2 linked regions of the Bombyx mori genome follow. The protein of the gene in region 1 interacts with the protein of each later gene in a pairwise test. Links are inferred from orthologs where the notes say so. Each region holds a gene or a part of one and is shown on either strand. Other genes may lie near its edges.

Region 1 (3,958 bases):
CCTTAATGGTAACGACATTATTATTGCAAATTATTTATAAACAATCAGCTTTACTGTTGTTAATTGGCAGGTGTGTATTGAAGTAGCTGGTTTTAATAATAAAGGGTTTTAAATAACTAAATATCAAAACATTATTATTTGACTTACCTTTTTAACTAAACGGCACTTAACGACATTATCTGTGAGAGGGTGTGTCGTCATGTCAAATAAAAGAAAATTTTGTTTTTCTGTTGTTAAAACCCCTTTCTCAACCAGATTTTTAGCCAATCTTTCGCGTACGTTCTTTAACTGGTATTTCAGTTTCATTGGATTCCATGTTTCACCTAAAAATATTGTCCATCTACATCTTTAAAACTCATTTCCATATATTTTCATATAAATAGGCCACGGCCAAACAGTGAAGTATAATTTCTTTTATGAGGTGGCTATTGATAATAAAGCAAATAAATGTAATATATAAGAATTTAAACACTTTTCCCCACCTATTCGCTGGTAGCCTAAGGTGCCATTCCAGCTTCTGGCAGAAGAGATGTTAAGGTGCCAGAAATTATGCTTGAATTTTGATCAGTAGGCAAACCCTAGTAAATATCCTTGCCTTGGAAAGCAATTGCGCCAAGCCAATTTGTTGTAAAATAAAATTAAATCTGTTATTCTATTTAAAAAGATTTATTGTTTTATTTTGAATAATTTTTAGGAGTTTTAATCTATTCAACATTTAATTTAACCACTTATTGGTATTATACTAAAATCTACTGCCAAGTTTCTAAACCTGCCTAGAGCTAAAATCTCTTAGAAATATTGACTAACATAAACCATAGTTTTTTCTCAAGATTATAACATACTTATTTCCAATTCTCAAAAACTGTGAAATTGGATCTATTGCCCTCCAAAACACAAAGTTACAATTCCTGATAAAATTGCATAACTTAATTTTCACAACACATAAACTCTAAGCTCTTGGTAAATGTCATATTTGTTGCACAACTGTAACATTTGAAATCATAAATATTTACATACCACTCAGATATTCAATCCAGCTTTGTACTGTTTCTGGAGGGTCAGTATCTTTCATATGTTTCAGAGCTTCATCTAGCAGAACATCACCGGTTAAAGTATCTAAAATGTTTTTATTTTATTTTGTTACAATGTAATTTAAGAAGAGCTTGTTGATAGTGAAATAATTAATTTTGTTTGCTTATTAGAATTTGAAATTGCTTTAGAGTATCTTGCACAACAAGTTTCAAGAACCATTATAAATTATTATGTGTAAATGTATCAAGGTTAATAAATAAATTATTATTATTAATTATTATTATTATTTTTAAATAATTTGCTTCTAAATATAAAAGAAAATTAAATATTGACTATTTCTACGAAAATATTTTATCAATAAAATAATGTTTGCTAATGTATTTTTTAAATGTTATCAAAATTAATTTCAATTCAAGCTGATACTTTAGTTCTTTTATAGTTAATTATTGATAGCTTGTTTTTTTAAATAATTAGTAAGATTGTTTATTTTCGTCTGTCACAAAAAATCCCCTGTTAGTTCATCATTATCTGCTCACCATATACTAAGAATAATAGATGGTTTTGAGGTTGTGTAAGTGTGAAAGATTACAATTTTTTTTTAAACATTGAGGACTACTCAACATCCTTATGGCTCATTTGATGTTATGTGGTTGCTATTTAGTCTAAGTCTTATAGCTTATAAATTTTAATTTCTAGAAAATATATTATGTAAACAAAACTTAGGATGTAGTGATTAATTTTTCAGACAATTTTCAAATTTCAATATTTGTAATTTGGATGAAAGAAAATTAAATTGTCAACTTTTTTACTATATTTATACTAGGTTAAAGAAATGCATTTTCTGGAACAAAAAGGATATTCTATGTGAGAAAATATAGCTTTAATCAATTTAGCATTAATAGTACCTTTAGCTTCAGTGTTGATCAGTTGTTAATGAGTACTTTAGAATATTCAAAATTTTATCGTCACTTTTAAAACAGATATATGGGTTTGTTAATTAAACTTGAGCAGTAGTCACCTACCTGACTTTACAATCACTTTTCTAGACAACAAGCCTTTCCTACGCATTCCAGCTCGCTCCAGTTCAAGTCGTCCTCTTAAGCCCAGTTCAATTAGAATGCATCCTCTTAGACCACTGGATATGCAGTCATTCCAAAATGATGTATAACCCTGAAACGGTAGAAGATGAGCATGTCACGATCTTTAGACTGCTGGAATGCCATTGTATTTATCAGATCAGTTAGTCATGTAAATATTCACCTCTTTATCCTTTAACCCTAACAGTAACACTTCTTCCATTAATGTCAATTTAGTTTCCTTGGAATCTCCGTCATCATAATTTTTATCATTTTTCTTATCATCGTTGTCGTGATTTTCTTTCTGTCCGTCTGTGTTACTCTCCTTTATAACATTTCTTCGTTGCACTAAACCCTCAGTACGGTTCATATTCTCATTAAGTTATATTTTAAAATGCTAAAACTAATTAATTTCACAAGAAAGAACTATATTTATATCGAAAAATTGTAAATGAATGGTCAAGTTGACGTTTACGTTGCGACGTGATGTTGTTGTCGAAAACATGGCCGACTATACGTTCCTTTTCACCAGAACCATTCAGTGTGTAATTTTATGCATCTTTGCAAATATTATTCAAATCATTTCGATTGATTGATTTACTAGCAATGTGTCGAATTAAATGAATTTGAATACCTTTTAGAAATTTTCATGTATTTGTATACTGCACTTGCAAGCTACAATACTAAGAAAGAACTCAACTCGGATAGCCAGAAATTGAGTACAATCTCGAGTATCCAAAGAAGTCGAGTACCAAGCTGAGTACTTGGGCTGCGACTTATTTTACTTTATTGTAATTTACATTGAATTTACTTTCAAATCTTCAATACCTAAAGCTTCCTAAAGGGTTCAGAGTGATGCTACTATACTGTTGTACAAACCCCACAGAGAGGTATTATTTTAACGAGTTTTTATGTGCTTGGTGTGTACATATGTATCTTTGAAAGTGACTTTCACTCAGTTTAAAGCTTTGGATTTAATTTAAATTCGTATAGTTATCGAGAATCGATGGCAATAGAGTAAATTAATAAAATTTTCCCATTATCGTGATCAGGTTCTTCAGTATTAACGACAGTACGGACAATTAAAAGACAGTTGTGCCACTTACTATGCATCGCAGCGCCTGCTGTCTTCTTTGGATATTCTAGCAGATTCCTTTTCCGGAATCTAAAATTAATTTCACGTTAAAACCCCAGTAGTCACAGAAACTATCATCAGATAGAAGAACTTGATTTGACAGGAGGTGTGGGACTGTGATGGTGTTGCATTGGATGAAATGGTTAGATTACGAAATATATTGTAGAAGGATATAATAACCTGTTTTCACATAATAATATATTGCACTAAAAAGGTGATGCTTCGTTACTAAAAATAAATGCTTAATAGTTTAAGAAACATTTTATCTCTCCCCAAGATATCTATTTTGATGAAAGACCGATTATGTGGAAGAAATAATCTCATACTATAGTTTATTGGAGAATATATTTGATGTAGTTTCATGTGAATAGATTAATTTAATCTCGGCTAATTCCTCAGAGAATCTGCAGAGACTTTCGTAACTTACATTAAGCGATGCAGTTTATAAATTCAGAGATCGTAACACAGTCCCCGATATCCAAATTTTTGAAATTCTGACACCATCTTCTGCATGTACGCAAACGTACTTAAGCTATATCTGGTGTTTAGAAGTCGCGACCCAGTTACACCCAGTTTAGCCGAGGTTAAACATGTCGATAAAGTACAAATTTTTGACCAGGCGCAAAGTACAGAAAAAAGATAAGATCACTTTGTGGTTCGTCTGTATATTTTTTACCAATGATCAAAATTCGATCATGATCATTGAAATCCAAAA
Region 2 (8,646 bases), on another chromosome or scaffold:
CGCTGCCGGCCGCTGCTCTTTCAGTGGGAATTGACCCTAAGGGAAACTACCTAACCCAGTTTGTCGTTTCCCACTCTCCATGGTCAAGTAGTTCCCGAGACGGTCTATTTTCTCACTCTCGCTTTTCTTAAATTTTATCTTTTCTCTCTAACCGTCACAAATCTGTCGAGAGTTGAAATTTACTCTCAAAGCGCTTAAAGGAGTTTAACTAAAAAAAAAAAAATGTGTGCGTGTACTAGTGTACACACGTAAGAAGTGAAACTTGTTTATGGCCTTATTTTTCGAAAAATGATCTACATGCAACTTTCTAGAAATTGGTTAAATAAAGTTAAATTAGATAAAGTTTAAACAAAAGGATTTTATTATCATAGACATGAATACAAAAAAGTTAAATTAGATAAAGTTTAAACAAAAGGATTTTATTATCATAGACATGAATACAAAACAGATGGCGCGTAACGGAAAAATGTGACGCGTAACCGAAAAATGTGACGGTAAATTTTTTTCCAACGCCGATAAGGAAGTTTCACTTCAAAAATGTGTGCGTGTACTAGTGTACACACGTAAGAAGTGAAACTTATTTATGGCCTTATTTTTCGAAAAATGATCTACATGCAACTTTCTAGAAATTGGTTAAATAAAGTTAAATTTTTTTTTTTTTTTTTTTTTTTTTTCCACAGGAGAAAATCGCCGGATCCCCACCCGCGCGGCAGGTGGGGTATGTGGGAGTTGAACCTCACTAAAAACTCCTGCCGCTCACAACCGGCGCCCTACCTCGGACCGGGCCAGAGCCCAGTCGGGGCTATTGAAACGGCGGGACAGGGTTGACGCAGAGCACATTACATCCATCCCACCGTCCCACGGACGCCGGACCGGTGGCCGCCAGCGAAACGACCACCGGTTCCCTCGTTCAGCGGGCCGAGAGCCCGCTTTGATGGCGCCGCGTTACACCTTCCCCCAGAGCGGTCGGGGGAACGCGGTCTACCATCACCCGGCTTCCTATTGCGGGTGAGCGTGCAGAGCACGCCACCCCTCGTCTGGGTCCCTCCCCGCACAAAACGGGTGGGACCCCTAGCTCTTAGGGGGCCAGGTCACGGATACGACCCCGGTCCCGACCCCCTGCTCGGCGGCGGCGGGTTTCTGCGTAGTGAGGAGAGCTTTCCCTCACTCGCCCCGCCGCCTCCTTCTGCGAGATGGTGCACTCGCAGAAGTCGAGCATAGCCTTCCATGACTCATCGCTGCCAAGCATCGACGCCACGACGCCAGGCAAATAAAGTTAAATTAGATAAAGTTTAAACAAAAGGATTTTATTATCATAGACATGAATACAAAAAAGTTAAATTAGATAAAGTTTAAACAAAAGGATTTTATTATCATAGACATGAATACAAAACAGATGGCGCGTAACGGAAAAATGTGACGCGTAACCGAAAAATGTGACGGTAAATTTTTTTCCAACGCCGATAAGGAAGTTTCACTTCAAAAAAAAAAAAAAAAAAAAAGAGGAGAAATTCATTCAGTTATGGACTGACAGTATAGGGAGATATATGGCATCATATTTTTCCTACTGTGAACACGTGTTTTCGAAGTTAGGTGCTCTCAGTACTTCGAACACGTTATCACATTAACGGTATCCCTATTTTAATAACCGAGTTATTAAGTTAAGTTATTGTGCATTAAATTGTTTGAAAACAATATTTTCTTTTACTATAAAATATACAATTTTTATTAAGCGATCAATTAAACTGATAATAACTTGAATATTCAATTCTTAAATATAACTAAATTTAAACCTTAATTTTCTGTTCAAGTAAAAACAACGCTAAAAACCGTCAATGACAATATACTGTAGTACTGCGTTCCGTTTTAACCATTTTAGCTAATGTAAAGGAACGACATCGCAGTATATTAAATTGACGTCACATCTTTGAGTGCTGGCAGTGCATTAAGAATACAGATGAAGTGTGGTAATTGGTGTTGTTTTTTAAATCTTTCCACGTGCTACTATGGCGACACCTTAATTAGTTAATTAGCTCCCTTTTTATATAAGTACTAAGATAGCACCTACTTAGTTCTAACCTCGATAAATCAACGGCTACCTAGCCCTGTAATATATGACAAGTCCACCAATATCATTTTTAATGTTATTACTTAAATGATGAATTTCTAATTTTTTCTTTATTGCCCTTGTAGGCAGATGAGCATACACGGCCCACCTGATGGTGAGTGGTTACCGTCGCCCATGGACTTCAACAATGCCAGGGGCAGAGCCAAGCCGCTGCCTACCGCTTAATACTCTCCACAAGCCTCTTTTAAAGGACACGTCATAGCGCTCAGGAAACACCGTGGAGGGGAGCTCATTCCATAGCCGGATGTTACGTGGCAAAAAATACCTCTGGAAACGCACTGTGGATGATCGCAGTGGCTCCAGGTAGTACTGATGAACTCTACTCCGGTGGCGGGCGGTGCGATGGTAAAAACGAGACGTTGGTATCATCTCGAACAATTCCTCAGAGCACTCCCCATGGAACATGCGGTACAAAATACAGAGGGAACCGAAGTCCCTCCGCAGACCCAGAGGTTCCAAACGATCCGTGAGAATGGGATTATCGACGATTCGAAATTCGATTAAAAGTGTGGAGGAGAGCACCGCACCTTGTGGAACGCCAGCATTAATGGTCATGGTATCAGAAGTCACTTAGTAGTACTTTCTCAACTGCTCGAAAAACAAGGCCAAACCACAAACTTGCATTGTCTTATGTCATGCCTACCTGGTATAAAATATAACAAAAGCGATAAGATAGTAAAACATATTATATTATGTGAAATTTATGTTCACCAAGCTAGGGAAGTAAGCTAGAAGAGCGGAGAGGAGGCGAGCTTACCAAGAAAGGGACGACATAAGATGACCTGATCACCTGTGAGGCCTATCTAACCAGAAGTAGATGAAGAAAAATATTTATATATTCCAGCATATGTTTGATAAAACAAACAAAAAACAAATTTATATGATGTTAATTATTTTATTGTTGTATGCAGTATATTTTTTTAAATACAAAATTGTTCAGCCTTGTGATGAGAGAAGCCAGTTCCTGCCAGGATGCGGACATGATTGATAAATAAATAAAAAAACAAAAGTATCAAGGCGCCAGTTTGGAATTATTGAGTTATTTCTTATCTAACATTTAGAATTTCTCTTCTTCTAGACCATGTTTGAAAAACATCATGATTGGTATTTGCGTACCATCAAAGTCTCTATATTCCATCATGGCAACCATGCCATCACAATCCATAGACTCCCCAGTAAAGAACTGAAGTTCCTTAAACCTGCCGAGGATGTCTTTCATTACTTTGTTCATGTTTGTTTTAAATACTTCAACTTGGTCAGGCGCCTTCTCTTCCAATTTTGCTACTAATCTGAAATAATAAAAAAATTACATCATTAAGTTGTAAAAATACAATCAAAAAATATTGACACCAGTAAATAGTTATTTGTCATCTCTATTTCATGAACAAACATTATAAAAATGAATGTTTTTTCATTAGGGTTCTATTACTTTTGCATCAAAAGCTCCATAAGTGAACATTGAAAATTTCACTTTTGGTATTAGATGATGCTATTATATTAAGCATGCACATCAAATAATCCAACCTTTGTCTCTGCCTGCCTGGCATGGTTGATGCCCTTTAGCTTTTGAACAGACTTAAAAGATAAATGTGGGGATTTACTATTATTACTGCCTTTTAGCATTTTTTCACCATAATGAATTTAAAAATAAATTTGCACTAAATTGTCTTGTGAAAATGAAAAAACTTATATTTGCAAATATAGGTATACATGTAATACAAAGCTACTGTTTATATAAGGCAGTTAACATTTCTTCCATTCTTTTTCAAATACTCAAAGGGAAACAGACAAGATCCCTTTTTTTAAACTTAACCTTATATATCAGCTGCAATAAATAATTATATAGTAATAACTATTTTTAATTTAGTATCTAAATAGTTAGTATTTTTTTAATTATCAACAATCATAAAAAATAAACTCACAAAAATTTACTTTCACGATTTTCTTACACCTACCTATACTTAGTGACTTACTATAGGGGTAAAATAGTAACATAAATAAATTGAATAATAAAAAATTTATGAATATTGAAATACATTTCTCATGATCTAAAAATCCAGAACTAATGACCATTGTTGTGTTTTTGAATCAAAGTTTTAAAACCCTTTAATATTATTTTATAACAAAGCCATTTGAATGAACTATACTTAATCACAATGGTTTGAATGATTTTCAAACGTCAGTGTAAAATATAATCACCTTGTTGATTTACAATCACCATTATGCTTCTTGCAAACATAACTAGCCATAAACTAAACCAAAATGTGATTTAAGCTACAAATTGAAAATCCGTAAACAAAAGCAAACATCAGCCTCATAAGTATCTAATCTTCAATGATAAGCTGATTTCAATGTCATTGTCATGTATATTACACATTCAATTATTTTCATTACCACAATGAATAATTTGTAAGCTGTTATGTAGGATGTTATTAGCATTGTCATCAAGCATTATTGATGATGAGCTGAGTCATAACCATGCAGTAACTTTGAAAAGTCGTAAGCCAGGCGTCGTCTGCGTGACCTTAAATTCATTGAATCTTTACAAGGTTTTCACTCCTTATAAACTCTTTTTACATGAAACGCAGTGTGCACAACGAATTTAATACGTTTTTAAGTATAAAATATACACAGCACTCACTTTTTCATATAGTCTTTGAGGTACAATGTGTAGGATTTCTTGTCACCGAAGGCGTATGTTTCGACTAGCCTGTGGTTCAGGACTATGTCAACTCCGCTCTCGACGGCCGAGTCCGTGCCCTCGTCAGCCTCTTCAGCCGAAGGATTAAAACCCTCGATCTGGATATCACCCTGTGCTCTCGTCACCAACCTACCGGTCACTTCGTAAATAACTTCATCGACCAATTTCATTTTGTAAGTGTCAGAGAACATCTCATCACCTGAAATGAGAAAACCGTACTTTTAATTTTCACTTTTGATAATTTAGAGGATCTCATGTCGATGTGGCAAATTAGTTAGGTTTCTGAAATTAATAAGTCTAGTCAAATGTCAAAATCATCAGTTATCAATATTATTTATTTTAAACACGAAATCACAAAATATTACCAAAATTAAAAGCAGCATTTCGTAGAAAATATGATTACCAGTGATAATGTCCTTATAGATCTTCATTTTGATGGATTGGAGGCGATTAAAAATAATAAAAACCGAAAGAACGGCTTCTCGCCTCAACAACTAAACCGGAAAGGACATTTGACATGTGAAAGAAAGCAATGAAACAAGACTGTCGAATATTGTTTGTAATCTATGGTTGTGTAACATAGTAATCTATCGACAAAGCTCACAGTAAACTAAAAAGTTATATTAAGTACCATTCTAAAGTCCGCTGAAATAGCCTCTCAAGGCTATCAGCTTAGGTAGGAAAAAAAAAGTCTATGGGCTCCTAAGTAGACTGAAAAATTCTACTTACAAAAGTTGTTACAATTTGATGCACAATCTGGACAATTTAAATATTACCTACTGATTTAGGTTTATTGGTAGTTTTCCAATTACAGAGCATAATGCATAATGCGACTCAGTGGCACACAATGCCGAAATATGCTGAAGCTTAATTGGAACGTGAATTAGTTTTCAAATGCATCAGCAGAGTGCGCTAAGTTCATGATGATGATTCGATCAAGCCATTGCAATGTTTACAAAAGTGTATTCTTGTAAAATAAATTTGTTTACAGATTCGAATTCTAAAATGAAATTGTATTCACATTTTAAATGCGGAATATAAAAAAAAGTAATTATTTGTACCTTCATCCATACTTATATTTATTTTTTTAGCACAGTTGGAATTAACTTTGATTATTTCCAAGAAACTACGACGAAACGAAAGCCTTAAATTTTTTCAGCAATAAAGGTTTACACTTCACTGAGGTCTGTTACTGAGTTGGTATCGATTGCGAGTATCACGCGAGAACAGTACTTTTGAAAGTGCTCGATTGTGCGAAGCGTTGCTGTAATTGGAACATTCAACGTTGAGCATTATGCCGCATAATGCGCTCTAGTGCTGTAATTATTATCAAAATGAAACGCGAGACAAGGTTCTTTTTTTGTGGTAAAAATTAAATCTTTATTTGGAACTTAAATGAAAGTGATTAATTAACTAAAAGCGAGTTAAATTTGTTAAAATTTGTGTTAATTACAAAAAGGTCATTACAGCTCTATGTTTAAAAATCTTTTGATTTTCTTTTTACAAAATTAGGGTATGTTACTTAAAATTAATAACGGGTATTTCCACGTCTGGCCCTGATAACCGCCTGCATACGATCAGGCATGCTATGGATAATGTTTACTGGGGTATTTCTTCCCAGGCGGCCACTAGGGCGGTTTTCCACTGACTGATGGTCTCTGGAGGGTTGGGACTGGATCGAATTCGCCTTTTAAGTATATCCCAGACATGTTCTATGGGATTCATGTCTGGACTTCGTGCTGGCCACTCAAATTTTCTGATGCTCACCTCCGACAGGTAATCATCGACGCAACGTGCTGTGTGAGGTCGGGCATTATCTTGCATGCGGATGAAATCTTCGCCCCCGATGAATCCCACGAATGGTAAAACATGTTCCTGAAGGATCTCTTCAATGTATCGCACTGCTGTTAGACGACCTTCAACAACTACCAACTCTGTGCGTGTGTCTGAAGAGATACCTCCCCAAACCATAACGGACCCACCGTGGAAACTGACGGTTTGCCTGGTAGTGATTGGCAGAAACCTCTCCCCATGACTTCTCCACACACGTTCGCGTCCGTCTGGAGCTCTTAAGGCTACTCGGCATTCGTCAGTCCACTGAACTTTACTCCACTGCTCGTGAGTCCACTGCGCGTGTTCACGAGCGAACCGTAGTCGAGCTACGCGATGGTGTCGGAGCAATTCGGACCACGAGCTGGTCTTCGAACACGTAGATTTCGTTCCTCCATTCTCCTTCTTATTGTTCGCTCACTTACGTTGATTCCTCTTGAAATTTGTAGCCGCTGCCGAATTTCGACTGCAGTAAGGAACCGATTTCACAAAATTGCGAGAGTGATAAATCGGTCATCTCGCTCTGATGTACACCTAATACCACCACTACCTGGTCTCCTTGTGTATAGACCGGTCTGGTCGTACCTTGTTACGGCGTACCTGAGAGCTGTACGCGATACATTTAAAGTTTCAGCAATTTCTCGCTGCGTTCGCCCCTGATTTCGAAGTAACACAGCCTGAACAACTTGAGCAGGTGTTAGGGTCATTGTTTTCCAATTCTAGAAGCATAAATTACTACCGATTGATAAAAAAATTAAACATTAAAGATTAAATGCAAGACTATTGGAATATCGAATTTTAACTGACCCGTCTTTTGTGCGTTTCACTAACGAACTAACGTCAAGTGTCACAGAAATGAAACAAATGGACATTTTTAAGTGCTTACTCTCAAAATTAACAAAAAAAATGGTTAAGATAAACTGCCACTCGAAATTCTCATACGCGATACAAAAATCGCCCGTTATCGGTCTGCTTAGGCTTGGGCCATATTCCGTGCCGCTGACTGTTTATGAAGACAGCGTCAGAACGCTTCGAGAAAGCGGCGCAATACGAAAACTATCAAATCGTGATTGCTTGAATGAAATTATATACCCGAACCAGACGACAGGGAAATACTAACGATAAGCTCGGCAATACTCGGCATTTTGGAACCATTCTCAGTACCTACTTCTAAGCATTCTAAGTATCAGTCGCGGTTCTTGTCGAACTCGTTGAATGCGAAAGAGTTCGACTTGCTATTTAACCCACAGCTTCAACCTTAATAAACTAACGCATGTTAGCAAGTTTTCTCAGGCTCAGACCCGTAAAATTGCCACGTATCATATCAAGACGCAGAATAACCCTCGAGGCTACCGGTAATTAAGTAGACAAATTCACCAAAAACGCTAAATTGTGTTTTCCACAATCTCAGTTGTTTGATTTATTCGTCTTATTCAACGAATTCTCAGATTAAGCACTGAAGGCGTTGTAGACAGTATGTTAGTACGTGGTAAATATAAAAAATATATTTTAGCATTAGGTACATCAAAAGATTCCTAAATGGATATACTATTTTCAAAGGCATTAATTAATGCTAAAAAATATTTGATCGCGCAATTCACTGACTTTGACATAGGCCAACTTCTAACTTGACACTCGAATATTATTGGTAGGTAAATGGAAAGTTGAAATCGCTTGAAGTTGATGGATCGGATATAGATGGCGCAGTTCCACCCATTCCAAAGGAAACTATGGAAGTTTTTCTTTATAATTCGACTGTTTGTAGATTATGTGGTGAAGAAAATGATAACGGCACCGTGTTATATGTACTTGAAGATAATAATACAAGCTTGAGTGAAATTGTTAACACGTATTTACCGATAAAGGTAATTGCATTTACTCTTAAATTGTATTGACCTAGTGTCAAAGTAAAATAGCTGACCTTCGATTTAGCTACTATATTAAAAGTGTACAAAAATTAATGAACATTTTAAACTCGAAAGTATTT

Evidence for each region.
Region 2: the proteins of Golgi phosphoprotein 3 homolog sauron (region 1) and Tctp interact in binary tests that used the Drosophila melanogaster proteins (3 or more experiments, as listed by UniProt). The link is inferred for Bombyx mori from reciprocal best matches to the Drosophila melanogaster genes sau and Tctp.

Annotation. Positions count from the first base shown.
Region 1 is NC_085111.1:10,440,947-10,444,904, reverse strand, and holds the start of Golgi phosphoprotein 3 homolog sauron, read right to left. Parts: upstream 2,801-3,958; 5' UTR 2,479-2,800; coding exon 2,293-2,478; intron 2,203-2,292; coding exon 2,055-2,202; intron 1,117-2,054; coding exon 1,018-1,116; intron 324-1,017; coding exon 148-323; intron 1-147. UniProt on the Drosophila melanogaster protein: Phosphatidylinositol-4-phosphate-binding protein that links Golgi membranes to the cytoskeleton and may participate in the tensile force required for vesicle budding from the Golgi.
Region 2 is NC_085110.1:16,151,738-16,160,383, reverse strand, and holds Tctp (translationally-controlled tumor protein homolog), read right to left. Parts: upstream 5,336-8,646; 5' UTR 5,261-5,335; coding exon 5,233-5,260; intron 5,029-5,232; coding exon 4,770-5,028; intron 3,418-4,769; coding exon 3,186-3,417; 3' UTR 3,008-3,185; downstream 1-3,007. Other genes in the region: zinc finger protein 271, read left to right, coding at 8,390-8,524. UniProt on the Drosophila melanogaster protein: Involved in calcium binding and microtubule stabilization.